Linked DNA regions of Canis lupus familiaris. The protein of the gene in region 3 interacts with the protein of the main gene of each other region in a pairwise test. Links are inferred from orthologs where the notes say so. Each region holds a gene or a part of one and is shown on either strand. Other genes may lie near its edges. The genes, in order: RAF1, EGFR, GRB10, IGF1R, GIGYF1 and GIGYF2.

Evidence for each region.
Region 1: the proteins of GRB10 (region 3) and RAF1 interact in a two-hybrid assay, tested with the Homo sapiens proteins (2 studies listed by BioGRID). The link is inferred for Canis lupus familiaris from reciprocal best matches to the Homo sapiens genes GRB10 and RAF1.
Region 2: the proteins of GRB10 (region 3) and EGFR interact in binary tests that used the Homo sapiens proteins (3 or more experiments, as listed by UniProt). The link is inferred for Canis lupus familiaris from reciprocal best matches to the Homo sapiens genes GRB10 and EGFR.
Region 4: the proteins of GRB10 (region 3) and IGF1R interact in a two-hybrid assay, tested with the Homo sapiens proteins (4 studies listed by BioGRID and IntAct). The link is inferred for Canis lupus familiaris from reciprocal best matches to the Homo sapiens genes GRB10 and IGF1R.
Region 5: the proteins of GRB10 (region 3) and GIGYF1 interact in a two-hybrid assay, tested with the Homo sapiens proteins (2 studies listed by BioGRID). The link is inferred for Canis lupus familiaris from reciprocal best matches to the Homo sapiens genes GRB10 and GIGYF1.
Region 6: the proteins of GRB10 (region 3) and GIGYF2 interact in a two-hybrid assay, tested with the Homo sapiens proteins (2 studies listed by BioGRID). The link is inferred for Canis lupus familiaris from reciprocal best matches to the Homo sapiens genes GRB10 and GIGYF2.

What each region holds. Positions count from the first base shown.
Region 1 is NC_049241.1:6,018,040-6,022,689, forward strand, and holds part of RAF1 (RAF proto-oncogene serine/threonine-protein kinase), read left to right. Parts: intron 1-3,431; coding exon 3,432-3,544; intron 3,545-4,650. UniProt on the Homo sapiens protein: Serine/threonine-protein kinase that acts as a regulatory link between the membrane-associated Ras GTPases and the MAPK/ERK cascade, and this critical regulatory link functions as a switch determining cell fate decisions including proliferation, differentiation, apoptosis, survival and oncogenic transformation.
Region 2 is NC_049239.1:6,117,163-6,121,812, reverse strand, and holds part of EGFR (epidermal growth factor receptor), read right to left. Parts: intron 2,798-4,650; coding exon 2,598-2,797; intron 1,481-2,597; coding exon 1,348-1,480; intron 1-1,347. UniProt on the Homo sapiens protein: Receptor tyrosine kinase binding ligands of the EGF family and activating several signaling cascades to convert extracellular cues into appropriate cellular responses.
Region 3 is NC_049239.1:2,207,596-2,212,903, forward strand, and holds the start of GRB10 (growth factor receptor-bound protein 10), read right to left. Parts: upstream 3,346-5,308; 5' UTR 3,282-3,345; intron 1-3,281.
Region 4 is NC_049224.1:42,230,873-42,235,522, reverse strand, and holds part of IGF1R (insulin-like growth factor 1 receptor), read right to left. Parts: intron 1,761-4,650; coding exon 1,215-1,760; intron 1-1,214. UniProt on the Homo sapiens protein: Receptor tyrosine kinase which mediates actions of insulin-like growth factor 1 (IGF1). Binds IGF1 with high affinity and IGF2 and insulin (INS) with a lower affinity. The activated IGF1R is involved in cell growth and survival control.
Region 5 is NC_049227.1:8,962,588-8,967,679, forward strand, and holds the start of GIGYF1 (GRB10-interacting GYF protein 1), read left to right. Parts: upstream 1-1,509; 5' UTR 1,510-1,570; intron 1,571-4,541; 5' UTR 4,542-4,668; intron 4,669-5,092. UniProt on the Homo sapiens protein: May act cooperatively with GRB10 to regulate tyrosine kinase receptor signaling. May increase IGF1 receptor phosphorylation under IGF1 stimulation as well as phosphorylation of IRS1 and SHC1.
Region 6 is NC_049246.1:44,629,832-44,634,459, reverse strand, and holds part of GIGYF2 (GRB10-interacting GYF protein 2), read right to left. Parts: intron 2,955-4,628; coding exon of another isoform or gene 2,953-2,954; coding exon 2,802-2,952; intron 1-2,801. UniProt on the Homo sapiens protein: Key component of the 4EHP-GYF2 complex, a multiprotein complex that acts as a repressor of translation initiation. In the 4EHP-GYF2 complex, acts as a factor that bridges EIF4E2 to ZFP36/TTP, linking translation repression with mRNA decay.

The DNA.
Region 1 (4,650 bases), on a different chromosome or scaffold from region 3:
GAACTTCAGGACCCTGCCAGTTGTAGTGTTGTATAGTCATGTGCATTTTGAACTGAAGGCAAACATAAGAGGTATTTAAAGTTTGAGTACATTTATTTTTGTTTCCCTTCCTAAAAAAAAGTTTAATGGCAAAATAAACAGTAATCTCCTTATTTCAACAGTGGCCTTTCATTTGCAAGGTGATTTTGCCTATTGTTACTCATTAATTTTCTTTAACCTTAAATGGAGCCCAGATGGGAAGTGTGAATGTAACGGGAAGCTGAAGGCAGGCTGAAGACCACAGGAAGTTAGTGTACCTGTCTCTCTGATTCTTTACTACCACGTTGCCTAGAAGAATGAAAAACTTTGTTTGGCATAATGATTATGTGTATGGACCTCTAATACAACCAGACCCCAATTTAAATCCCTATATTGCCTTCTATTAGCTGTATCATCTAGACAAGTTACATAATATTTTGAGCCTCTTTTTGCTGACCTTAATGAAATGAGGCTCATGCTAAGTACAATAGCTAATTTATAAGTAAAATGGTAGCTATGATTATTTGAGTTTTTTCTACATCTGTGTAGCTTTCGACAGCTTTCAGTTGAGCACAGCTGGTAGTTTGGAACCAGTGATTTAGAGGCTTGACTCCTCTTACAGCTTATGAGAAGGCTCTAGCAGATAAAGTTAGTTTCTCCTATTCCTTTGATCAGAGATGGACCATTGCTCTCTGGAAGAACCATATTCTTTCAGCAGGCATCCATCTTTAGGGAAGCATAGGAGGTAGGAGTCCCTTGCTGGCCAGCAGGTTGAGTTAGTATTTTCTAATCATCCTTAGGTTGCTTCACTGCTTGGAACCCAGAATGACTCATAATCACTTAGTGGGTTCCAGAAATTAGTCAGATTTAACTGAATTCAACATGTGTCCACGGAGAGTTGTAGAGAGGAAAGTGACCAAAAGGATATGTATATTATTTAAATAGTTGTAGATGTATAATTGGTAGTTGATTGAAAAACCTTGTCATTTATTTTGTACATATGTGTACAAATATGTACACTGCCTACTTATTGGGTGGGTGCTTAGACCACAGCTGAGGACCATTAATGACCATTAGAATCAGGGGATCCCTGGGTGGCGCAGCGGTTTGGCGCCTGCCTTTGGCCCAGGGCGCGATCCTGGAGACCCGGGATCGAATCCCACGTCGGGCTCCCGGTGCATGGAGCCTGCTTCTCCCTCTGCCTGTGTCTCTGCCTCTCTCTCTCTCTCTCTCTCTCACTCTCTGACTATCATAAATAAATAAAAATTAAAAAAAATGACCATTAGAATCACCTGACACAGGTTAAAATATAGATTCTTGGGCTTCATTCAAAATCAGGTGAAGCAGAATCCTTGGATGTATTGGAGTGGGGAGGCTGGGAATCTATATTTTCATAAGCTCCTTGGATGATTCTAATGCCAGCCACATTTGTGAACCCCACTGAATTAGAGGATATTTATTTAAAGAACTGTCTAACTCTTAGAGTCTGTGACTTTTTTTTTTTTTGGTACAGATTTTATGTATTTATTCATGAGACACACAGTGAGGGGCAGAAACACAGGCAGAGGGAGAAGTAGGCTCCTCGCAGGGAGCCTGATTTGGGACTCCGTCCCTGGAGTGGGATCACGCTGTGAGCCAAAGGCAGACACTCAACCACTTGAGCCATCTGGGCGTCCTTAGAGTCTGTGACTTTTAATGAAGATTAATGGTATAACACAGCACTATAGTTTTCAAGGCCCTGTTGCACAGTATTTGATGCAAGTAATGATTTGGTTAGTGTGTATGTATTCCTTTTCATTGTCCTCATTCTTGATGTCTTGTCTTCATAGTTCAGATTCATATATCTCACTTAGTTTTGTTTCTGAAAAGCAAGAAGTTAATGGATCTGAGAGTATAACTGCTTCAAGAAATCTAAAATAAAGTTGCCATGGAACATTTTAAATACTTCAGACTTTTAAAATGGATCCAAACATACACTCACCTCCTCTGGATTGGCCACTGTCAGCTGTCACACTTTCACTGAGCACAGGAACTCTACTGTGGGCAATTCACAAGCCCTGCAAATCTATATTCTGTTCTCCTACTGGCCGTACTGACTCTAGTTGCCTCACTTTTAATTAACTTTATTGCCTTTGAAAACAAAATGTATGAGGGGCTCCTGGGTGGTTGAGTTGGTTGAGAGGCCAACTCTTGATTTTGGCTCAGGTCAAAATGATGTTGATGTTGTGGGATCGAGTCCTGTGTTGGGCTCTGTGCAAGGTGTGGAGCCTGCTTGGGATTTTCTTTCTCCCTCTTCCTTTTCCCCTCCGTTTCCACCCCCCCCCCCTTTTGCGTGCTCTCTCTCTCTCTCTCCAAAAAATAAAAGAAAAACAAAATGAATGGGGCTTTTATAAAAACTTTTAAAGTCTTAGTCGAAATTTTATATAGCTGCTATTATTAGCACCCTGACTACTCACACTTACACTGGGTCTCTGAGTACCTGCCTAGCTTTTGAAGATTGGGTATGGAAGAGTGTGGAAGGACATACACTGAGGCTACCTGGAATGGTGTGCACATTTATTTAAATTAGTAGTGTTTGTTTTTGTAGCAGGGCAGAAGCTCTGTTTCCTCTCCTTGCTTGCCCTTACAGTTGTGAAGTGTGTATGAAATGGAATTTTTGTCAGGAAGATAAATCATCTTGTTTCAAACAGGTTGAAATACAAGTTTTCGTCAGAAAAACTCTTGTTTGCTTATAGATTAGATTGGTTTATTTTCCTTTCTGGTGGATGTTCATGCTTGCATGTACATTTCAGCAAGTTTTTTTTTTTTTTAAAGAGATTTTATTTATTTATTTATTAATGAGAGACACAGAGAGGCAGAAACATAGGCAGAGGGAGAAGCAGGCTCCCCTCAGGGAGCCCGATGTGGGACTTGATCTGAGCTGAAAGCAGAGCTTAATTGCTGAGCCATCCAGGTGTCCCTCAGCAAATTAAAATAGAGTTGTGTGAAGGGAAGTTTGATCATTTTATCTCTCTCAGCCACTCTCTTGATGTTAATAGCTAGAGATATATCTTTTCAGACTCATACAACATATATAAATATATATAGGTTTCCTGCCCTTTGAATAATCTCTTTGTATTATTCTGAAAAATATTTTCTCATAATTAACATATGGGCACCCCTCCCTCTAGGTCATTGTAAATAATATAGTAGTGACATACACACATATTCTAGGCTTTATCCAAGCCTATTGGACATTAGGCTTTTACCTATTATTGGACATTCCAGCTATTTTCTGTGTGCATTTATATTTACCATTACAAATAATGCTGTCATAAATCTGCATATATCTTTATAGACTGGTACATTTATTTCTTTGCTCACCAAGGGATGTGCAGCTGTTGTTGGTTCTAAAGATGGTCTTTTGTTTGTAGGTCAATGTGCGAAATGGAATGAGTTTGCATGATTGCCTTATGAAAGCACTCAAGGTGAGAGGCCTGCAGCCAGAGTGCTGTGCTGTGTTCAGACTTCTCCATGAACATAAAGGGTAAGAAATTAAAAGTCAACTCTTTTTTCATACAAGTAAGGAAGCTGATGACTTCAAATAATAATAGTTCTTTTTTTAAAAAGTATACTAGTTTCCTATAGAATATTATGTATTTATATTCCCTTGTGCATAGACAACTCAGAAAATTAAAATATTAAGAACTTGAAATTATTGTTTAAACATTGCATTGAGAAAAAGAATACATATTAGGTGTTGATAATATTCCATAAATGGAAGCAGTAGTGTCAGGTAATGTTTTCTTTAGAGTAAAAAATTTTTCTGTTTCCTGGAATGCAGTGGACAGAATGGGTACTCAGAAAGTGTTTGCATTATTATTTATAGTTAAAGAATCTTATCCTCAAGAGAGTAATAACTCTTATATAATTCATTTATTTAAAAGTTTTTACCTAAGTTATCTCTCCATTCATTGTGGGGCCTTGATCTCAGGACCTTGAGATCAAGAGTTGCATGCTTTTCTGACTGAGCCAGCCAGGTGCACCTCATTCATTCATTTATTTATTATATGGTTAATGCTTACTGAGTCCCTGCAATTTGGCAGACATAGGACTAAAAGATGCAGGAGAATTTCTGCTTCAAGGAAGATCCATAGTTAATCTTAGTTCTAATGGTGGTGGCAAGATAGAAGCATCCCATCAAAGGCTAGGAGCAATATTCCATAGCTTCTATTATCCATTATTATCCCCCTGAATTTGGGGGGAGTAATCTCTTGGAAAATGCTAGTTTCTTCTTTCTTCTTGGAAAATGCTAGTTCTGCTACTGATCTCCAGCTTGCATTTTTTCTGTTTCAAGGAGTTCTCCAGTTTGAGGGAATAGTCTAGGAAATGAGTCAACTCAAAGGGGCCAATTTAGATTCCGCTATACTACTCCCTCTATCTTAGGAAGCAGTTTGTTGAAGTGTAGATCTTTGAAGCAGCAGATGTCAGCATTATCTGGGTTTAGGCCCCAGGTTGGTCCCAAGCTAATCTCTAGTGCCTATTAAAGACTAGAGGGATTCTGGGACAGTGAGGGGCTGTCCACTCTCCTCTAAGGCCACACTGGTGTAGAGCTGCCTTAGCTTTTCTCTTAGACAGATGGAACCTGAAGAC
Region 2 (4,650 bases), about 3.9 Mb from region 3:
GAAAAACAGTACGTAGGGAACGAAGGTATGAAAATTTTTGCTTGTGATGGTTTCGCTATTCCTCAAAGATGTCTAGATGGATGTTAAGCAAGAAGATGATGTTTGATTGAAAAGGCAAAATAGTTGTGACAGCTTTTAACACTGAAATCTGCCTCTGCCTGGTAATTAACTACAGGTCTTCACTCCAGTGAATACACAGTGTTTACACCCACAACATGGTCCATAAATCCTCCCTAATGTCATTTAAACCAAATATGCCCAATTGTTTTTTTTTTTTTTCTTCCTTCCCTCCTTCTCCGGGTTACACGCCTGCTGGAGAAGCCAGCCATGCAAACCGAGCAAGTGCAGCAAGACACCAGGGTTCTCTAACAGAAAGGCTCCACCCTCATGGTTATTCTAATTTCCTCTCTCTCTAAGAAGATGTGGAAACCATGAGATTCATGTCTGTTTGCAGCAGTAACGATTGCACCAATATTTCTTACTTGTTGAAGCAACACTGTCAATTATACAAAGGACTCTGTTAGGTGACCGAGCGCACCTGCTAAAGGATTCCTACAGAGTTGGACTTGGGCTTCTCATCCTGTTCCTAAATATTTCTGGATCCGTACTGTGGCCCAAGCGCTGAAAGCGAACAAGAAGGATGGTTCCTGTAGCCATCTGTAATTCCCATGGCTCTTCTCTCTCACAAAATTTCCCCTTTTCTTTACATTAAAAAACAAAAAAAAGCACCTCTGCCTCTCTCTATCCTTCAATTTTACTTTCCTATTAATTTATTCTTAGTCATTATTTGAGGTCATGCAAAAAGCTTGACATCAGTATCAAGATTCCCACAGAAGCAACAGATTGGACTTTCTATTGATGGCAAATAAATTTAACAATGGTTATGTTATATGCTTGTTTATTTCTTTGTCCATGGTTACATTTAAAGTTATTTGCACAGTTTGGTATTTGTTGAACATGAAACAAATTAACCGGGAAATGTAATTTATACTAGGATATTTTGACATGCCAGGAAGAGTAATTCCAAAGAAAAGTCTAAACGGCTGTGGTCTTGGCCACACAAACCATTTCTGACTTTTCCATTTGTCTTGGGAACTCTGTGTGGCTGAGAAAATTATCAGGTATTTCCAAAAATAGAGACTCTCTAAATTAGTGGATAGGATTAAGTAATGAAAAAAGTTTGTTCATTTCCTTTTGTGATTAACAGTTGTCAAGAAATAAAGACCAAAGAAAAAGGGAAAAAAACAAAAGGATAAGTTTCAAAGTGAAGTAACTGTAAACCTATAAAAACAATCGCCTTATTATTATTTTTTAATGAAAACAAAAGGGGTTAAGAGATAGCCTTACCCCTCCAGAATGTTGCACTTTTCCACACATTCCTTGCCACGGCTGACGTTTCGGCAGGACACGCAGTCTCTCGGCCCTGGGCCCCAGCAGCCTTCTGAGGAGCACAATGGATGGCAGACGTGGCCTATGGCCTCTGAGAAGACAGACCGAGACACAAGGGGTCAGCTATGGCACAGTGACTGGAGGGGCCACTTGAGACCGCTCCTGTAAGTGGGATGCTGGGCTCTCTGTGACCTTGAGCTGCATGGACATGGCGGGGTGGGGTGGGGGGGCCTGGAAGAAGCGATGACACACAACGGGCTTCCAGAGGCCAACTACAAGTTCCTCTTCCCTGCGGGGAGTCAAGGGTTCCTGGCCTGGAGCTGGGTAGCATTTTGCGGATGAATGTCATAGCTGATGGAAACACAGGGAAGGTTTGTGGGCCTTGCCGTGTGCTGGGCACCATGCCAAGAGTTTTACATGTAAAATTCCATTTAATTCTCTCCCAAGCAGTGAGAATCACTGAGGAAGCCGAGGCCTACACATGCTGAGTAAACTGACCACAGTCTGGAAGCTGGGAAGGGCTAGAGTCAGGGTGTGACCTCAGATCTGCTTCTCCCAGTGACCAGGTAACGGGCACGCCTGGCTTCAAGAGCTGCCTGGGACTCTAAACTCAGACTAGAAAATGTCAGTGTAAATGTTCATTCTACCTGCACGCGTGTGCACGTGTGTGTGTGCACGTGCGTGTGTGTATGTGTTGCTAGCTACGTTCATCAGAGGCTAAAAGGTAAGATAATGTATACAAAACTCAGTTCTGTAAATTATAAATAAATAATTGATAGCTTAAATCTCAAGGCAAATCCATCCTATGACATGTGAGTGATTTGGAAACAATTCCAATGAACTTTACACGATAACTTCACATTTAGGAATATACAGATTTCTTTTAATCTGCTTCTTCAGGAATGAAAAATGTAACTTAAATGTTTGGGGATATTCCTTTTTAAAATAAATTTTTTTAAAGGATTTTATTTATTTATTCGTGAGAGACACAGAGACAGGGAGAGGGGCAGAGACACAGGCAGAGGGGAAGCAGTCTCCCTGCAGGGAACCTGATGCAGGACTCGATCCCAGGACCCCGGGATCATGACCCGAGCCAAAGGCGGATGCTCAACCACTGAGCCACCCAGGTGCCCTGTTTGGGAATATTCTAAATCAAAAGAAATGATCCATGTGAACCATCTCCACAATCAACCAGAGTGATTACTTACTGCAGGCTTTTTCATCTTTGTTGTTTATAATTTTGGTTTTCTGACTTGAAGTCCCAAAGAGTTTCTTCCAGTTTATTGTATTTGCATAGCACAATTTTCGGTTTCCAGAGATGATCACATCTCCATCGCTTATCTCCTTGAGGGAGCGTAATCCCAAGGACGTTATGTTCAGGCCGACGACCGCCAGAGAAAACTGGCCACTGTCGCGGGGAGAAGAAACATAACGTTGTTAAAAATTATGAAAAGATTATATCACTAAAAACGTTATTTTTATTTTCTGGACCACCTTCTGTTTACTACAAACTGCCTCGCACTGATTGTAAGTCATATTGCAGGAAGTCTGTATCACAACTTCTGAAAATTATAAGAGTTTTTTTTTTAAAGCTCCTCCAGGGAAAAGCCTGTTCCTTGTTCATTTAGTATCTTTAACCCCAGTGGCATTGTGGGGGCTGAATAAACGTTAATATCATTATTATATGCACTGCATTTTTTTTTTGTGCCTGGGAATAGAGAGCATGTTCTAACCTCTCAAATATCCAAATACGCTTCAAAAACCATAGGTTCATCTTTTCCACCCATGCATCCACCCATTCATCTATCCATCTATCTACTCACTCATCAATCCGTATACTTGTCTATGTATCTATGCACATATGCATCCATCGATCCTTCCACCTCTCTATTCATCCATCCATCACCCATATCCATTCATCTGTCCATTCACCTATTCACCCAACTATCTATCCACTCATCTGTCCACTCATCTATGCATCCATGCACCTACCCATCCATCCACCTTCCCACTCATCTATCCATTCATCCATGGATTCATCTATCCATTCATCCATCTATCCCTCCACCTGTTGATGCACTGATTCATCGATCTATCCATTTACTGAACAATCATTTGAACCACCCAACTCTGTGCTAGAACTCTATAAGGCTATCAATAGGTTTCCATCAAGTGATTGGGCAAAAGTCATTCACCCTGAAGGGAGGGAAGTCCTGAACAGGAGCAGGAAGGCAAGAAAGCAGCTGATGGGTGCTGAGAACCAGGAGCTACTGCTGGAGCAGAAGCCTGGAAGAAGTGTCCGGTTACTTGGACACCTTGAGCTCGGTTGTGGTCTGCAAATGATGGAAACCATAGGAAAGAGACTTGCATTTTTGGGAAGCTCACTGGACACCAAGACAGGGAATGGACTAGTTGAGACAGCACCGAATGAGGAGACATCATACACAGGATGACAAAAGTTTAACTTGGAGATTCCTCCTCTCTCCTTGTCTCTGTTTCTCCCTCAACCTTTTCCTCCTCCTCCTCCCTTTCCACAGCCTGCTCCTGAGGAAAGCGAGGAGCCCTGTGTAGGAGACCAGCAGCACCACTGTTTTAGAAATTCTCTCATCATGTGCTCACGGAAGCCTAGACACTGGGACAAAGCTGGGGTCACCTTCGTCTGGTGAGCCATACCTGGAGCCAGTGGCCACCCTGCCCCTCCATTTCTCATTAAATGTGAAAAGAAAACAAAGTAATTCTAAATTTGTTTAAATTCCTAGAACTAAGCCAAGTGGTACATGCCAGTCACCCAAGAAAATTGATCTAAATCTCTTATCTCTGTATAAATCTTGGGCAAAAGAAATATTGTTAAGAACTTAGAACAAAGGGTCTTTCCAGGGAAGCAATGTTAGCTCCATGGTTAGTACAAGACATGCACAGCCAAGATGGTTTTTAAAAAGCGATTATGTATTTTATGTATACTCTATTCAGATTTTCTTTAATATTGAATGATATTACGTAGTTGTCTTAGGGGTCAATTAATGGGTGATAGTTCTCAGCATTAGACTGTTTCCAAGGCAGATCTGACAAAGAGATTCTCAAAATTCTCAAAAAAATCTGACAAAGAGATTCTCAAAATTCTCAAAATTCTCAAAAAATAAGAGATCTCAAAAAGATTCTCAAAAATATTACGTAGTTGTCTTAGGGGTCAATTAATGGGTGATAGTTCTCAGCATTAGACTGTTTCCAAGGCAGATCTGACAAAGAGATTCTCAAAATTCT
Region 3 (5,308 bases):
TCTACTATCTTTAATTTCTTCTATCGTTCCCCATAATTCTACAGTTGAGCAAAAAAAAAAAAAAAAAAAAAAAAAAAAAAAGACAGGTTAAAGAAAAAAATCTTCACTAGCAGAAAAAGTTTTTATTTAAATTTTGAACGTGACTGGTTGCGTAAATGAAAAGACGAGGCAAACGTTTTCTCCCTAGGAGCCCCCGCGATTCCACATTGGCCCCCCAGGCTGAGGGACAGTCACAGGGATCATGCGCACCCCGCAAACACACGGCCTCCTCCCCCCACCGAACAGAGCAGGCGTCCCCTCAGCTCCGAGTTCTGACACCAGCTCAGAGACATCCTCCCGCGGTGTAGGTTTTTCTTCCCCTGCGGAGACGGACAGACTTCCAAGAAAATAGGTTCCTTAAATTAGGCCACCTTCAAAGCATTGGGTTTTATCAGATAGACCAACCCAGAATTTCTACAGCTCTGAGATGAAGCCAGAGGCACAAAAGCCGCCTCTGTTCGAGCCTGAGTCTGGTTGCGGAACCTCGTAATGTCCCAGACCAGCCACCGCATCCAAATCAAAGCTCTGCGCTGGCTCCAGGTTTGGAGTTCGGCTCCCTCCGGCTCCACGGTCACCGGAACAGGGCCAGGGTTGCCCTGGGTTCCGATCCCGCGGCCACCATCCGTAAATCCCTAGACAAGTGGCCGGCACCAGCCAGCTCCGCTCTGGGTTCCTGGCTCACAAAGGGATGGGCTTCTGCGCAGCAGCCCCGCACTGCCCCCCAGAGTGGCGCAGACCACAGGCGACAGGCAACTGATGACTCTAGGGACACACAGCTTTTACGAACGCGCTGTTCTAACTGCAAAAAGCACAAGTGCCATATCGAACTCGTGACATCAAAGTTCCCTCCCCAAGTAAGTGTGTACTTAAGTACAAAAAGCAAGTGGACAAATTGATAAAGGCCTGGCCATAGGACAGTAATCGGCAAGCTGGGGAGCCACCCTGCAGGTAACAGAGCCTCCTACGTCTCCAGGTGTGTGGCTGGCAGGAGGAACGTCCTCCAGGTCACTTCTCTTTTGGAGGCAGGCATACTTGTGCAGAAGCATGAAACACACAGGACAAAATATTAAAAAATAAAAAATAAATAAATCCAAAGCTAGGCCCTGGTGACAGCTCTGTCATTCGCTGGCCCGTGACCCCGGCATGCCCACTAACCCCTGAGCCTCAGTTTCCACACCTGTAAGGGATGGGGCTCAGCGAGCTGTAGATGACAGCGAGCAGGTTTCTAAGGAGCCTTTTACCCTGTAAAATGCTCCAGGGGTATCGGAAGCTGCACTTCTCAGTTACAGGAGCCACTTGCCGGGTGTGTAACTCTGTCCTCAAATTCCCTCCCTGTAATCTGGGGATTGGCCTGCGTGGCCCTCCGCTTTCAAGTGTTCCCAATAAAGTAATCCTAGAGTTCAGATCTTTCACAGGAAAAAGCCCAGTCATCTAGACTCATTCCTGGAAACACATTTGGTTTCAGGGCTTCTCCTTAATAAAATACTCCCCCAAGAGACACTTGGCCCCGGCCCTATGTCAAAACTCCTTCCCCTACAGAAACCGAAGCATCTTCCCACTTTTCCTCTTGGAATGAAAGAGGGGGACGCCGGGTCAACGCTGGCGGAAAAACCAGCAGCTCCGTGCCTGTAAACCCCCAGCCAGCGCCTGTTGCTGCGCCACCAACATGTGTTCTTGGTAAAACTGAGCGAAACGTTAGAGAGAGCACCAATTCTGAACCTCGGGGGCTACGAACGGCTGAATCAGCGTTTTCGGAAACAAAGTGTTCTGGGCCCGGCCTTGTAAACAGCAGCACTGAGAAAGTTGTGCAATAACGCCTGTGTACTCACGAGCGAGCGCTACTTGTTTGGGCTTTTTCTGCATCTCTTGAATGAAAGCGGATACGAGGACGTTTGCAAGGCAGCCTTCTCCCAGCGCCGACCCAGGCCGGGCACTGTCACCTGTGGCTGCCCTGCACTGCCCACCCCTCCGCCCCCAGCCAATGACAAAAAGTCGGCAAAGTTCCTTGCAATCTCCCAGCAGAGGGAAGGCGATCAGAAGTGGGGAACAGCCCGAGTCCCTTAAGGCACAAGCCGGAGGGCAGCGGCAAGACGGGCCGAGAGGCGACCAGGGAGGCCGGTTGCATCAGACGTTCCTCGGCCGGCGCTCGGGCGCTTATCACATTTCCCCGGCTGGCGGCGGCTGCCCCGGGGCCCACAGCTGGGGTGAGGCCCCGCGGGGTAACCGGGCCGCCGGCGGAACCGAGAAGAACGACTCCGGCCCGGCCGTGCCCCGGGCTGCCGGCGAGTCCGCCCCCCCCCACCTCCCCTCCACCCCGGGCTCGGGGCGCACCGGGGGCCGCATGAGGTCCGGCCCCCCCACCACCACCCCTCCAGCCCCGCACCAGGGCTGCATGAGGTCCGCCCCCCCACCTCCCCTCCACCCCGGGCGCAGGGTGCACCGGGGCTGCCGGAGCTCCAGTTCCCCCTTCCCGCCTCCCCTCCATCCCCCCCACCTCCCCTCCACCCCCGGCGCGGGCGCATCGGGGCCGCTGGAGCTCCCGTCCCCCCCCCCCCCCCGCCTCACACCTCCCCCTCCATCCCTGGCGCGGGGCGCACCGGGGCTGCTGGATCTCCGGCTGCCCGCCCTCCCGCGACCCCAGCCCCTCCCCCATCTCCCCTCCACCGGGAGCTCGGGGCGCGCCAGGGTCGCTGGAGCTCCGGACCCCCCCACCTCCTCTCCACGCCTCCACCTCTCCTCCATCCCCCCCACCTCCCCTCCACCCCGGACTCGGGGCGCACAGGGGCCGCTGGAGCTCCGCCCCCCCACCTCCCCTCCACCCCGCGCCTCCCCTCCACCCGGAGCTCGGGGCGCGCCAGGGTCGCTGGAGCTCCGGACCCCCCCACCTCCTCTCCACGCCTCCACCTCTCCTCCATCCCCCCCACCTCCCCTCCACCCCGGACTCGGGGCGCACCGGGGCCGCTGGAGCTCCGGCCCCCCCACCTCTCCTCCACCTCCCCCTACGTCTCCACCCCGGGCTCGGGGCGCACCGCGGCCGCTGGAGCTCCGGCCCCCGCCCCCCGCCGCAGCCCCCGGCCCCGAGCCGACGCCCTTCCGCCCGCCGCGCCCCGCGCCCCCGCCGCGTCCCCGACCGGCCGGCCCGCGCGCAGACAATGCCGGCCCGGCCCCTCCGCCCCGGGCCCCCGCCCCCGCCCGCGCCCGCCGCAAAGTAAGTTGCCGCCCGCTCCCGCCCAACTCCGTACCTGCCGCGGCGCCGCCCCGGCCGCCTGCGAGCCCCGGGACCCTCGGCGGGGGCGGGGGCGGGGGCGCGGGCGGGGGCGCGGGCGGGGGCGCGGGCGAGGGCGCGGGCGGCGCGCAGGGCGGTCGGGGTCCCGGTCCTGGTCCTGGTCCCGGTCCCGGTCCCGGTCCCGGCCCCCGCCCCCCGCCGCCCGGGGCTGCGCGCAAACTTCGGGTCCCCGCGGCCTCCCGCCGGCGCCGCTCGCGTCCCTTCCTGCCTCCTCCCGGCTCCCCACCCCCTCGCGGGGCTTTAAACTCGCCGGCCCCGCCCGCCGCCGCCTCCGCCGCCGCCTCCGCCTCCGCCTCCTCCCCCGGACGCTTTTCCTGCTCCTCCTCCTCCTCCTCCTCCTCCTCCTCCCGCTGCCGCCACAGCCCGGACCGCTCGGCAGCCGCCAGCGCGGGCGGAGCCTCGGCCTGGGCGCAGGGCGGGGGCGCGGGGGGCGGAGGGGGGCGCGCGGGGGGCGCAGGGCAGGGGGCGGAGGGCGGAGGGCGCAGCGCGGGGACGCGGGGGGCGCAGGGCAGGGGGCGGAGGGCGGAGGGCGCAGCGCGGGGACGCGGGAGGCGGAGGGGGGGGCGCGGGGGCCGGAGGGGGGCGCAGGGCGGGGGGCAGATGGGGCGCAGGGCGCAGGAGGCGGAGGGGGGCGCGGGGGCGCCCAGGGCGTGGGGGCGCGCAGGGCAGGGGCTTGGACGAGCGGAGGGGGGCCGCGGGTAGGGGGGTGCAGGGCGGGGGCTGGGGGGGCTCGGGCACAAGGTGGGGGGTGGGGGGGCGCAGGGCGGAGGGTGGCGGGGGTGCAGGGCGTGCAGGGCGGGGTGGGGGCGCAGGGGGCACAGGGTGCAAGGGGGGGCGCAGGGCGGGGACGCGGGGCGGCGCGCGGGAGGGGCGGCTGTGCCGGGGCGCCAGGACCCCGCGTCCTGCACCCCCACCCCCACCCCGGGCACCCCTGGGTGCGGGGTCGCAGCCGCCCAAGCTCGGGTGCCAGCGAAGGAGCCGTGGGACCTGCCCCGAGAGGCAGTTGGGGAGCCCATTCCGCAGCTCCCCGTGATAAGCGCGCTGTTGGTTGACCCCGGGCGCAGCAGCAGCAGCAGCATCACCCGAGGGACTCCGTGGTCTGGGGCCTCGCCTCCCCAAGCCTCAGTGTCCCCACCTGCGGGGAAGCAGGGAGGCCCTATGTATTTTCATATTGCCGCCACGCCTCCGTGTCCTGATCCTTGAAATGGGCCTAAGGAGCAAGCCCGAGCTGTGCTGGGAGTTCAATGAGGTCACGGCTATAACAGAGAGACTGGCACGAATTCGTGGAAACCATTGTCATTGGTGTGGTTATTACCACCTCTCCCCAACCCAAGTACAATAGTAACAGCAACTACCTCTTTTTCTGGGTCTTAACGTAATGAAACAGCTAGTTTCACTACAGTAGTGACTTACCTTTTTGAGTACACACTTGGTACCAGACTATTCACTGATCGTCTTATTTAACCCCGCTTTGGACCTCTGGGAGACGCCCTCCCTACAGACTAGGAAACCCAATCTTCGCAGGTTGGTTGGCTGGCTGAAGGTCAAGTAGCTGGTCAGTGCAGAATAAGGATTATGTCAAAACCCTTTATGGCACTTTTTATAGCACCTGCCTTTCCCACCTTGGGACGGAATGTATCAATGAAAGGTCATGCACTCTGGTAACTGAAATAGGCCTCCTGAAAGTGTCTGTGGTTCGCTCCAAGCTCAGAAAACCACGCAGTGAACATGCAGGGAAAATGATATGAAGGAGCTCTGGATTCCTGGAAGAACGAAACACAAGGACTCCCGTTGTAGACAAAGGACGGAGAGAAAAACAGAAAACTTTAATTTGGGGCCATCTTGAAAGTGTATAGGCCTTGAATCTTACAGCTTTGCCAGAGGCCCGGATCAGCAAGGAATGCCTGCACGAGTCCAAAAGCCTGGTAGGCTGGGGGCTTTTAGAGATGTCCCAAAAGCACCTGTACGCGTAGGAGGTGTATG
Region 4 (4,650 bases), on a different chromosome or scaffold from region 3:
AAGAAGCCATCCTTTTCCTGCTTCAACCCTGGCTGGACGGGGAACAGAAAGAACAGCTACCTGTGGGGTCTGGCCTTTGATTTGTTTATTTTATACACTTCATGGTTTAGACAAGCCTACCAATTTGGGATTTCTTGGCTCTTCATGACTAGCTAGAATACATGAGCTCCTTGGGTCTTTAACTGGGCCAACCATTAAATAATAGCTATTTATAGCTACCACACTGACTTCTAACCAGGGAGAGGAACCTTCCTGGCCAACATACCTAAACATTGCTGAAAGCAACACGGCAAAGGCCCAGACTTGCCTTCTAATACCAAACAACCTGGGTCTCAAGGTAATTGATCACAATAATTCAAGAGCCTGGTTATACTCAAGAGAAAAATAAGCATATTACTGGTAAATAAGAAGCTTTAAAATGTCACCACGTGACCCCCCAGAGCAGTGAATACACTTCAAAGTCTTTTCACTAGGTGATTTCATAAGATCTGCACAACTCTTTGGGGCGGCGGGGGCGGGGGGGGGGCGGTGTAGGAAAAAGGAAATGGAAGCCTGGAGTGTACAAGTGCACCCATCACACAGCTACCTGCAAGTACAGCCTGAATTTGGGATTCCTGGAATCTGGTCCAGGGCTCTCCCATTGTGGTGAGGTACTCCATTATAAACCAGCACACCTAAGCATCATAACCGTCACTGGGGAGGACAGGATGGAGGTCACCACTTCCACAGGATGTGAAGTGAATTTTTACTTTCCCTTTACTCAACCACATTCCAAGTATATTCATACAAAGGAAGTCCTGCCATCCCACAAAGGATGAGCCAGGTGATAGGTAAGCAGTCCCTGACTGCTAGGGCTTAGGCACTTCCAAGCACACCAGGTCACCTTTCTTGTTGGAATCTAAAGCTTAAGGTCAGCAAGCTTCTAGCCCAGAAGGGTGACAGATTATATCCAAGACATGATCTAGATGCTCTTGATGGCAGCCATGCCAAGGTCCTGCATTCCATGAGTTCCCGAATGCAAAAGGAAGCCAAGCAAGACCCCAACCTGCACAGGGCAGGTGGCCTCATCCTCAATGCAACACAACCACACCCTCCCAGCAGAACCCTCAGCAGAACCCCCAGCAGAACCTGCACATTCAGAAGAGGAGAAAGGGCAAGGGAGAGCAGGAGGGGTAAAAGGCGCAGAGAGAAAGCCACAACAGCATCATCCTTACTTTTCTGGCAGCGATTTGTAGTCCAGCAGCGATAGTTGTATTCATTGTTGATGGTAGTCTTCTCACACAAGGGCTTCTCCTCCATTGTCCCTGGACACAGGTCCCCACATTCCTTAGGGGGTTTGTTCCCCACGATGTAGTTGTTGGACACTGCATCCAGGATCAGGGACCAGTCCACTGTGGAGAGGTAACAGAGGTCAGCATTCTTCTCAATCCTGATGGCCCCCCGAGTAATGTTCCTCAGATTGTAAAGCCCAATATCCTTGAGGTTGGTCATCTCAAAGATGACCAGGGCGTAGTTGTAGAAGAGCTTCCAGCCGCGGATGACTGTGAGGTTGGGGAAGAGATCCCCGAGGCTCTCAAGGCCGGCCACACGGAACAGCAGCAGGTACTCGGTGATGACCGTGAGCTTGGGGAAGCGGTAGCTGCGGTAGTCCTCTGCCTTGGAGATGAGTAGGATGTGGAGGTAGCCCTCGATCACTGTACAGTTCTCCAGGCGCTTCAGCTGCTGATAGTCATTGCGGATGTCGATGCCTGGCCCACAGACTGAGGGGAGACAAGAGGGCAAGGGCAGGACATGTCTGAGTTAAAAGGAAATCATTTTTAGAACTATTTCCCAACCCACAATATGGCCAGTTTTCAGGAAACCTGTATTAGTATTATTAAAGAAATAAGACTCTGTTCTTGGCTGTAGACTAACCGTAGGTGTAGACTATTATTCATGAAGTGTCTACACTGGGCCAGATATTGTGCAACATACCCAGTGACCATGGGAGATGCCATCCCCATCCTACTGATGTGCAAATCACAGCTCAGAGCTCAAGGTCACACAGAAGCACAGAAGAGAGTCAAGGTTACATAGTCAAGACTTCAAGTCAAGTCAAGTGCAGCTTCCAGGCTGCACACTCCCCACCCCTTCTGCACAGCACCAATGCCCAGAATCTGAACAAACAGCTCAGCAGCCAAGAAACAACAGCTTACTACTGCATCCAGCCTCAAGGAAACCATGCACTAGTCTACACTGGAGAACAGTCACTATGACCTAGAAAGTAGGGACCCACAGAAGTTCCCACATTTCTTGCTACCATCTGACACAGACCAGGTGGCCTCGTATTCTTCCCCAATACTGTATGAATATAGATACTGAGGCTCATTTAATAGAAAGACAAGGGGGATCCCTGGGTGGCTCAGAGGTTTAGTGCCTGCCTTTGGCCCAGGGCATGATCCTGGAGTCCCAGGATCAAGTCCCATATTGGGCTCCCTGCAAGGAGCCTGCTTCTCCCTCTGCCTGTGTCTGTGCCTCTTTCTCTCTCTGTGTCTCTCATGAATAAGTAAATAAAATCCTAAAAAAAAAAAAACAAGAATGTGTGTTTTTATGAATAAAAGAGGTATATAATCCCAACTTCAATAAAATGATTTATTAACCAAGAAAGCAAGCTTCTTGTAGAAAGTTTTGGTAATAGACAACAAAAAGACAGTAAAAACCACCAATATCTCAACATCCAAAGATAATCACTATTAACAGTGCCTATACCAGTGATCCTTTCTCTATAAGTAATTTAATTAAGATAAAGGAAATCAGACAATACTTTCCCTCACTTCATACGAACATTTTGCCAAATCATTAAATGTCCTTATATGTCATCAATTTAGAGACAGTAATGCTAGAGTATGAGTATGTACCATGAGTTCTTTTTTTTTTTTCATTTTAATTTTTTTATTTATTCACATGAAAGAGAGCCAGCATGAGCATGGGGACGAGCAGAGGGAGATCATCTCTAGCAGACTGCACTGAGTGCAGAGCCCAATGCGGGGCTTGATCTAGAACCCTGAGATCATGACGTGAGCTGAAACCAAGAGTTGGATACTCAACCGAGCTATTCAGGCACCCCTAGTTCTTTTATATTTTTAAACCAATCCCCTATTGTTGGATATTTAGGTTATTCCAGCTTCTCACATCATAAACAACATTCCAGTGAACATTCTCGGCAAATATCCAAGACTGTTTTCTTGCAATAAATCCCTAGAAGTAGAATTACTGGACCAAGGCATCTGCAGATTTCAAAAACTTTTGATAAAATAGCCTCAACACTGGAAGGTTTATTTTAAAAAATATAGACACGTATACAGGCACACTTACAAACCTTCATTAATACCCTTTCTTATGATTTCATAATCCCAAGCCTTCCATTAAAGCTTCTCAGAGTCAAGTTTTCTGATTGATGTAATTCATTAATTTTTGGAGCACTCAACACATAAGACACTGTAAGAGGTGCAAAGAAGCAGTGTCTACCCTCTGAAGAGGCTCATGGTGAAAGCCAGGAGCTAAGACCCATGACAAATAATGGTCATATGAAGCAGAAGGTTGGCAGTGATGTGCACAGTGAAAATCCACTCTAGGGGTGCTTGGGTGGTTCAATATGTTGGCATCTGCCTTCTGCTCAGATCATGATCCCAGAGTCCTGGTATCGAGCCCTGTGTCAGGCTCTCTGCTCAGCAGGGAATCTGCTTCTCCCTCTCCCCTCTCCCTCTGCCTCTCCCTGCTGCTTGTGCTCACTCTCTTTCTCTCGTTCCCTCCCAAATAAATAAACAAAATCTTTAAAAGGAAAAACGAAAAAGAGAATCCACTCTAGATGTGAATTGAGCTAAGCAGGACAGACTGGAGGTAGCCTTGGAACTTCCTGAAGAGAGAAGGTTCTTTCTATTGCAGTTCCCAGGAAAGCTCCACACATGCCTTGGCTGCTGTAAGATGGGTGGTATTTAAAACTGGATATTAAGGGGCGCCTGGGTGTTTCAGTCAGTTAAGTGTCTGCCTTCAGCTCAGGTCATGATCCCGGGGTCCTGGGATCGAGCCCCAAGTTAGGCTCCCTGCTCAGCAGGGAGTCTGCTTCTCCCTCTGACCCCCCCCCCCTCGTGCACACTCTCTCTCTCTCTCTTTCTCTTTCTTCTCTCCCCCTCCCTCCCTCCCACTAAGTAATAAATAAAAATCTTTAAAAAAAAAAAAAAAAAAAAAACCCTGGCTATTAACATTCCAGAGGCCAGAGAAAAGGGAGAAGAACAATATATACTCAAGAGACAGCAATGTGGATGGCCAGGGGTGTAGAGAAGAGCAAAGGAAATGAGTTTGGTAGAGTCCAAGTCATAAAAGGTCACAGGTAGGGATGGAAACTTTCATCTCAGGAATGAGCCCCTCTTAAGACTCTTGAATGAGAGAGAAGCCCAAAGGAGGCCTTTTTTTGGAGGAACATTCTGGTGGCCAAGTGCAAGACAAACAAAATGGAATAGGAGAGGGAAAAGAGAAGAGAGGTAAGTCCAGTGGGGTTAGAGCCATAGATAAAAACTGGACAGAGAATGGCAGGCAGGGGATGGAGTCCAGGGGACCAAGAGCCAAGGAAGCAGGCAAAGCTTGAAAACCTAGAATTTGAAACCTCATTTG
Region 5 (5,092 bases), on a different chromosome or scaffold from region 3:
CACAACTTTATATCTTCTCTCCTGTAAAACCAGAAGCCCCCCCCCCCCCATCAGCTAACATTTGTGGAGTACTTGCCCTGTGCCAAACAGTGTGTTAAATGCTTTACCAGACAATCCAGAGAGGGAACAGATTATTTCCAAGGCCACAGGCAGTAATGAATGAAATCTGCACGGGAGCCCTTGCTTTAAACAATTGCTATTTTCCAGCCTCGCAGCAAGCGGGGGAGACCAACAGCACTAAGAAATCCTGACTGCATGAAAGTGAAGGGAACTGGGGAAAAACAAAACAAAACAAAACAAAACAGATACTAAAACTGCTAGGACAGAGAAGCCTGGGGAACACTGGTGCGGGAACAAAGGGCCTTCTGGTAGCTCCTGAGGTCTGCGCTCCATTCTGGCACAACACAAGACACTCAAGTTCTAAGTCCCACTTTACCTTTCTCCGTCCTGAGGATTACACTGTGTTTGCTAACAGCCGTTTTAGGAAGCCGGAAAGTACAGTATACATTCTGAATAACCAGCACCCCCTACCCCGCCAAAAAGGTGAAAATACACAGGGGATAAAAAACAAAACAAAACAAAAAACCTTTCACCCTAAAAAGTTCAGGGACTTGGAAAAATCTTTCTTGAAAACCCCTTTTTTAAACAAAGGAGGTGTCAATCTACTTCTCATATTTGCATAATAATTTCTCTCTTCACCGTCTTTCACATTCACCTATTTTAATTCTTCCAGCACTAGGGGAATGGAGTCGGGTGGAGGTCGGGGGTGGGGCGGAGAACAGCGTAACACCTGACCTAAAAGTGAAACTGAGGCCCCATCAACTGCTTTGCCCCCGGGGTCTAGAAGCTAGTAGTCAGTGGCGGAGCCAGATGGAAACTCTGGGTCTCATCAGCCAGTGCTGCTTCGGACACTTTCCAAATGATTAGTTCCTCACTTATTTTATATATCCCAGGACTTCTAATTAACACACCTCTGGATCGTATGCTGTCTCCTTCAATCCAGGTGGGCTTCCTGGAGGAAACCGACTGGAGAGGCGAGCCCTGCGATGCCACCTGCGGCGGCCTCCGTCGCGACGGTCGCGCGTCACGTGCCGGGAGCAGCCGGGGGGCAGCCGAGGAGTGCCCCGGGGACCCCACCCCCCACCCCGGCCCGCTGCAGGCCCTGCGTCACGTGACGAGCCAGGCCTCGGGTCACGTGCCGGGGGGGTAATTTCGGGGGCGGCGGGCGCCAGGGCTCCCCACTGGGCAGGCGGGGCGGGCGCTAGGCCGTGCGGGTCGCCGGGGACCGGGGCTACGGAGGGAGCGGCGGCGGCGGCTGCAGAGGCGGCCGCGGCGGCGGAGGGGGCGGCCCCGCGGCCCCGCGTCCGCGTCACGTGGTGCGAGGCGGGCAGCCATCTTGCTACAAACACAAACAGAGAGGAGCGGCCGCCGCGGGAGCGCCAGCGCCCCCTCCCCCGCCGCCGCCGCCGCCGTCGTCGTCGCCGCCGCCGCCGCCGCCGCCGCCGCCCCCTGGCCCGCCGCGCGCCGCCAACGCCCCGGGACCGGAGCCTCGCGCCGCCCGCCCGCCGCGGTAAGCGCTCGGCGGCCCCGCGGACCCCGGCCCGCCGCCGGGCCCGGGGCAGGCCCGCCCCCGACGCTGAGGCGGCCGCGCCGAGCCTGCGAGAGCCAGAGCGAGCGCGCGGGCCGCCAGCACGGACCCTCCCGCCTCTCTGCCCAGGCCGCTGCCGCCGTCGCCGCCCGGTGCGTCCGCCCTCCCGCCGGCCCCTCCTCGGCGCGGCCCCGAGGGAGGACGCCCTCGCCCCTCGCCCCTCGCCTCGCGCACCTGGCGCCCCCTCCCTGAAGGGCACGCCGTCCTCCCGGGCGGCCCGCCTCCTTCCCACCCCCGCGCTCCTAACGGTCGTCCTCTGGCACCTCGGCAGCCCTGCCCGGCCCCTTCCCGTCCACCCGCATCCTCCGCCAGGCCTGCCCCGGCCCCCCGACCCTAGTGCCCGGCGCTCCCCGGAGACTTCCCCCAACGAGCCTCCGGGCTTTGACCGGAATTAGCTGGGCCCTGCGGGTCTTAAAGTCCAGGCGTTCCATGACTTTGGCCAACGTGGAAGCTTTTCTTAACCGAAGCACCTCCGCTGGGTCTTCACCTAAATTTCCTTTCAGCGGGCGACATTAATGCTTGGTCATTGGGGTCTCCTTCCTCCCTGTTGCCCGTCCGTTTCTAACAGCTTAGTCTCCTGGCTACGGTCCCTCACACTTTGCCTCTTTTCTTCCCCCCGAGTTAACTTGAAAGAGACCCTCTTTCTTACCCAGTCGTTAGAATTCCTAGTAAGCTTCCCGGTCTGGTCTTTCATTGGGCCCCAGCCCTGGGAGATGCTAAGTCAGTTGTCCGCCGGATCTTTCCTCCACGCACCCCAGTCTGTCTGTCTGTATCTCTCTCTCTCGTTTCTTCTTGCTGCTTACCCCAAACTCAGCCTGCACGCCACTTCTCCACTGTCCCTTGGAGCTGACATGCCAGTGGCACCTTGGCTCCCCACCCATGGTCTCTGCATGTGAAGCCCCTTAGATACCAACAGGCTAGGCTGATCCCCTTTGCCATTCATTATGGGGAGTTTGCTCTCAGGATCCTTCATCTGTAGTCTTCCCCTTGAAGTGCCAGGCCACCCACCCCTCACCCAGCTCCAGTTTTATTTCCTAGTTGTAGATCTGTGTAATTGGGAAGGGATGAGACAGATGTGGACTTTGCATTGCTGCCGTGGCCTAGGGAGCAGGGACCTAAACGGTCCCATATGGTGATTACAGTCAAGTGAGTTCTGTTTCTAGATCTCTGGCCTGGCTTTTTGTAGCCAGTGGACAAATTAGTGTTGTGGTTTGAGGAATTCAAGGACCCCAGTTTGCCCTTGTTTGTGGTTGGGTTAGAGATAGAAAAAGCTGCCCCACTTGAGAACAGAGAAAGGGAGAAGAGGTTGCTACGTGAAGGATTTTAAAAATTCTAAGGAGAAATTTTAAATGGCTTAAAACTTACCAAGTACTTAGGGTGGCTCTTGCTGCTTGTGCATCCCTTCTCCAGTCTCTAATAGTGTGTCAGGAACATGGGGTCCCCTGTGGGGGCAGCTGCATCCTCCCTTGTTTTCCCTGGCTGGGTCCCGAGACTGGGCAAGTGGGCAGAAGGGATCAAATGAGGTAAAGTGTGAAAGCACTTTGAGAACTTAACCAGTAAACATGCCAAGGACATTATCACGATGGCTCAGAGAGGCAGGGGGAACATGGTCTTGCACCCCTTCCTGAGCCTCAGAATTATTCTACCATGCATGGAGGATCTTTCCATCCAGAGAAAGGGCGGAGTCACCTCCCAACAGGCTTGGGGCTGGGTGGTTGCTGGTTGCTCAGATGTTGGGGAATTTGGGACTCCACTTCTGTTAATAGTGGTACCTTTCTGTGCCAAGGCACATTGCTCTGGAATAGGGCTAATTTTAGGGGTGACGGAATGAGGAAATAATGTTAACTTAGTGTGTACTAGGACTGCGTATTCTTTGGATATTTTTCTTCTGAGAGTTCTGAACCCCAGAGAACAGGCTTCGCTCCTGTTCCTGCAAGCCTGTTGTGAGCATCCTGGACAGTGTGTGTCCTCTCCCCTCAACTCCAGCAGGGGGCAGCCTTTTAGTAGCAATAATTCCAGTGCCAGGGGAGGGAGGGTATGTTAAGGCCTGAGAAAGAAGATCGGGCAGACAGGGGCCTAGGGAGACAGTTAGGAGATGAGGCAAACAGATGCTGAAGGTAGGGCCATGGGGTGGCAGATAAGCTGGAGGAATAAGCCTGTGAGGAGAGCCTTAAGATTAAGAAGCCAGGAAAGAGTGCTGTCCGCAGTCCTGTCTGCTCTGCTCCTTGTCCTGGTTCTTTGCTACTGGAAAGGGACCCAAACTTTGAGAGTTTGTGATACAGAAACTTAGCAGAATTTTTTGAATCTCTTCTTAAGGATTTCTCTCCTGGCAGGAGTTCATATTTCTCTCATGGGACAGTACAATTAGGAAACAATTTCCTTGCTTGCTCACCGGAGGGGAAACTGAATTGGAATAAACTTGGTTTCTTTTGTCTTCGTTCTTCCCCATAAACAGAATAGGCTTTATCAGCACCCATGATACGAAGGAAGGGTCCTCAACCATGGCAGTGTTGATTCCTTGTTGTGGGTGGGGGGCAGTGGGAGGCTGCCCTTCATGTTGTAGAGTGTGTAGCAGCGTCTCTGCTCTCTGTTAGACACCAGTAGTGCCCTTCAGTCATGCCAACCAAAACCATCTGCAGATATTGCCACATGTCTCTTGGGGAGCACAGCCCCCCCTTTAATTGAGAACCATTAACTTGGAGGAAACATGGAGAAGACTCATGGGTGTGGAGGGTGGGCACCATGGGGCAGTGTGTGTGCTGTTGGGTGGCACTTCCTGCAGTGTAGGGAATGGCCGGTGGCCACCAGCTGCTGGGACCAGGTCCTCCTGTGACTTTTTTCCAGCTGCTTCTCTGCTTCCCCTGCCCTGACTACCTTTCCCTTGCTTCTGCAGTTGCTCTGCTTCTCACACTGGGAGCCACTCCTCAGTTTGCTCCTTACAACCAGGACACAGAGGTGAAAGCCAGGAGCAGAGAGCATCAAGGAGAGCCACCTTTGCCACTCCCTGGAAGGGAGGGAGGGTGAGTGGTCTTCTGCCTTCCATACCCAGAGGGCTCTTCTGTCCCCCATCTTCCCTCTCAAGATGGGGCTTCTGGAATGAACTTCAGGAAGCTTAGAACAGTCTTTCCTGAGGTTGGTTTGAAGGAATGTGAAGTGTTTTCGTTGGAGTGAGGAAGACTTAGGTATGCAGTAGCTATTTCTAAATGTCTTTCTTTTCCCTAGACTTTTTTTTTTTTTTTAAGATTTTTATTTATTTATTCATGAGACACACAGAGAGGCAGAGACATAAGTAGAGAGAGAAGCGGGCTTCCTACGGGGAGCCCAATGTGGAACTCCATCCCGGAACCAGGGGATCACAACCTGAGCCCAAGGCAGACACTCAACCACTGAGCTACCCAGGAGCCCCCCCTTTTTTCAAATGGTAGTAATATGTACCATTTATCC
Region 6 (4,628 bases), on a different chromosome or scaffold from region 3:
AACTGCAATAAAAACAAGCTACATGTGCTAAAAGTGGAAATGTAATAATACAAACTGGGACTCCTGGGTGGCTCAGTGGTTGAGTGTCTGCCTTTGGCTCAGGTCATGATCCCGGAGTCCTGGGATCGAGTCTTGCATCAGGTGCCCTGCAGGAAACCTGCTTCTCCCTCTGCCTATGTCTCTGCCTCTCTCTGTGTCTCTCAAGAATAAATAAATAAAATCTCAAAAAAAAAAAAATGCCATCGTGTGTATCTATCATATCTAAGTAATGGATGTTGGTTCACAATGGCATCTGGCAGCTCTAAAAACTACAGGAAGACAGAGTACAATGGAGGCGATGGATCATTAAAATGAGGTTGGGCCTCCCTGATGATCTTTTTTTTTTTTTTTTTTTTTAAGATTTTATCCATTCATCAATGAGAGAGAGCGAGCGAGCGAGAGGCAGAGAGCGAGAGAGAGAGAGAGAGAGAGGCAGAGACACAGGCAGAGGGAGAAGCAGGCTCCATGCAGGGAGCCCGATGCAGGACTCGATCCCAGGACCCCAGGACCATGCCCTGGGCCAAAGGCAGGCGCTAAACTGCTGAGCCACCCAGGGATCCCCTGATGGTCTGTTTTAGAAGCAAAGTTCTCTTTTAATTAGTGACTACTTTCTCAATGGATGCTTTTGGATCAAATTAGAACTGTCTCATTCTGTACATGGGGAACTGTGAATGACAGACATTTGTTAATTTTTCTCAATCTGTGAATCAATAAAACAAATAGCAGTAAGTAGAAATGAGTAGGCAAGGGGCAGAAGTTAGTAATCATCAGAGCAATTTTCAGATAGAGATTCAGTTGAGAAGACATTTTCATAAAAAGGTCCAAGCCTACACAAGTGAGTTCTCTCAATACTTTGTTGAATATTTATTTCCCTTTTCCTTATATATTTTTTTCTGTTCCTTCAACATAATATGTATTCCTTAAACTCTATTCCTAAAATAACCCTCATTCCCCCAAAGAGAGTTTTAAGTCCCTTTCTTTCTGGTATCTGTAATGGGGATGGAATCAGATTGAATATTTAATTCAGAGAACTTTTACCTCACCCCCCTGACAGTCCACGGTTCCTGTGCCACACAGCTAAACAGCAAAAGGGCTTCTTGGTAGAAGCCACACCCAGAATTTCAGAGGCACTTGTAAATCTATTTTCACCCACTTCTGTCAAAACTGGGTAAAATGTTAGACTGTTCCATCCATTCTTAACATAAATTTCTGAGGCAGGTAAAATAAGTAACTTAATAATACAATTCTGAGACAGGCAGAAGAAAACAGAATTTCACCAGGTCTCTCTCTGCTCCCAAGCCAGCTTTCAGGCCCCAGTTCCAAAGGGCAATCCTCAAAGTTAAGTTTCTGTTACTAACATTTTGTTTTCTCCACTGTAGGAGACCTTTGAGGGAAGGCAGAGACCCTACTACGGGCAAGGTAGGATGGCAATCTCCTTCCTGCTGTGCTCTCTACTTTTTCACAAGGGGATCTCCATCTGTAGTCCCATAGGCATTCCACACTGGGTCCACACTGGACCCACACAACACACTTTAACACCGTGTTGTTATCCCCCTAAGCTTGCTCCATTTTCCAGGGCTCATCCTTTTAGCAAATGGCAGCACTACCCACCCTGCTGCCCAAAGCCTTCCATTCCCCTTGTCAGCCAATTCAGTTCCCTAAGTTTCTGAAACCCATCTAACTCCTCTCCATCTCTACTACCAAAACCCCTACCTATTCTCCAGGCCACCAGGATCTTTTACCTGGTCTATACCACAGCCTGCTGCCTGGGCCAACACTCCAACCTGCCATCTTGCCAATATAATCGTTCTGCTCTGGACAACACAGTTCTTAATAGTCTATTTGACACTCATAAACAGAGAATCATTCTAATTTCATCATTGTCTGTGAAGCTGTTTGGCCAACTTAAGAAACACAAGCAGTCTGCATCTGCTTGCCTAGACTGTTTATTATTCCAGAAACACCACTGCCTGTCCTTCCTGCCAGTCTTTCAAAGCCCTAATTCTGGTGTCACTGTTTCCATGAAGCTGTCTTGTGTGAAGACTCTGGTTCTCAAGGCTAGACGTGAATAGTTGTGGCTAACAGAAGAGTGGAAAGAAAACAGGCCTTCTCTGAAATCCCAGCCCCACTGCTAAATAATGGTGTGACTTTAGAAAATGTTCTAAACCCTCAGGGCGTTGGTTTACTCACTGGTAAAGTGGAACATGATCTCATAATGCAGAATGACTCTGAATATATATATATATATGTATAGATATATATATATATACATATATATATATATATACACACACACTCTCTCTCTCTTTCTCTCTCTCTCTATATATATATACATATACACCCATATATAATGAATATCAGCAAATATTAGTTATTTGAATACCTGATTAGACTTATGGTCAGTTTCTATACAAATCAGTGTTTAAGTTTTAACAACTTTTCCTTTTCTCCATTAGCATTATTTTCCAACTACACTGAAAGGCCTTCTAGGGAAATTCATAGAATATATGAAATAAGGCTTCAAAGTTTAAAGCATCACACAAGTATAAGTAATTACTTTTCTTATTCCCTATAGCACACGAGGCATCACTCTTGCACTGATGTGCCCAGTAAATATTACTTATTTTGAAGTGGCTTAAAAAATTAATTTTGTATAAGAAATATTTCCCTTTATGAAAAACATTCTATCAGGAGATTCACATAGGAAATTGCTATAACCTGCACACCTCTAACTCCCAGCTGAGATTTTTGGCTTTGCTCACCTAACAAACTGGGATCTGCTCGGACCATCTTCTGCTTTTTCTTCTTCTTGCCACTTTGTACGGCCTCAAAATTGGATTGTTGGTTGTTGCTTTGATTGGTCTGAAATACTGAATGGAGTGCACTGTGGTTCATTCCCCACACAGAGTCCTGTGAGAGAAGATGTCACAATTGGGGTTACACAATAGATGCAAGTATGGCCCACGACAGGAACATGGTTGATTAGTCCTCACCTTATCAAGTATGAGATTAAAAACAGAAAGCCTATCATGGATTCCAGTAATAATGAAACCAAGAGGAGTCCACTGAGCCATCTTTTCCCTTCATTTAGATTCAGACATCCCACTTAAGCTCTGTGCCTCCAAAAGGCCTATCCTGGTAGCTCTAGGTTTCCACCCCACTGTGACAACACAACTGTCAGAACCTCTCTGGTATACATAGAGTCTCCAGCCACTATGAAATTAAATATACAGCAAATAATCAAAAATAGACCTCTGTACTCAAGCAATTTACACCCCTCACCTACCAAAACATAAGGTTCCTCTGTCTTGAGCCCCAGGACAGAGAGGACAGAGGCTGCAGACTAGCTGGCAGTATGTTACCAAACAAAATTATTATGTACTTTATTCCCATTGGCAATCCCAGAAGATCCCCAAAATATCCATATACTTTCTACCAACTGGTTCAACTACAAAATAGTTTACCAGCCATTCATACTTAGTGTTGCCCTTATTAGAACAATTCATTTTAAACTGGGATCAGATTCAGTGAGCTAGCTGAAGGCACAGGTAGTGGCAGTGGGGGACGAGAAGGAAGAGTAGAGAAATGACCATGGAAGGACGAGCCTGGCTACATGTGCATATGCACACATTGCGTGGGCCCCCACCTCCAATTTCAGCACACAGGAGCAGCCACTTCACAAATGTAAAGACGATGTTTTCCCTTCTGATTCTCTATTTCTCCTAGTGCTGTTTACTTTCCTTCCCTTGATCCTTGTTTAACCCATCCACCCAAACGGATTTTTAATGTACTTCACTGTATCTTTTATATTCCCAGAAATGACCGCTGTAACAAACATTATCTGTGGCAGAATTATAGGATTGAAGGATATGAATATTCTTAAGCTCTCCATGAGCCTTGCCGCCTCATCTTTTAGAAAACTTGTACAACTGATCCTCATTATTCAGATTCCTATTTCCAAATTTACATACTGGCTATAATTTATCCATAACCCCAAAAATCAAAACTTGCAGGGCTTTTATGGTTTTCCTGAACTGTGAATGTCCAGAGCAGTAAAAAACCTGAGTTGCCTGAGGAAACACATTCCCAGTTGAGGTGGAACAGGACAGTATTCCACCTTCTTGTCTCCGCTCTCATACAGTAAAAACGATCATCTTTTTTCAGTTTCCGTAGTGTCATGAGGCTCACATTTTTGCTTGTTAGTGCTGTCACTGTTTAAAATGGCCCCCAAGTGTTAAGTGCTATCTAGTGTTCCAAAAAGGCTGTGACATGCTTATGGAGAAAAGGCAGGTGCGAGGTAAGCAGCTGTAGTGCTGCGGGCCAGGAGTTCAGTCCAAGGAATCAACAATATAGTAAATAAGGCATCTTCAAACAGAAACACACATAAAACAAGGTAATGTATTGATCAGCTGACAAAAAATGCTATGACCAGAAGTTCTAGAAACCTAACTGGGTGTTTTCTCTGGAACAAAAGTTCAGTATTCGCTAATTCAGCATTAGTGGCAACTTTACAAACTACCACAAATAATGAGAACGGACTATACCTTTTACATCCCTATCAACAATATATGGCATATCCAGCATGCTAA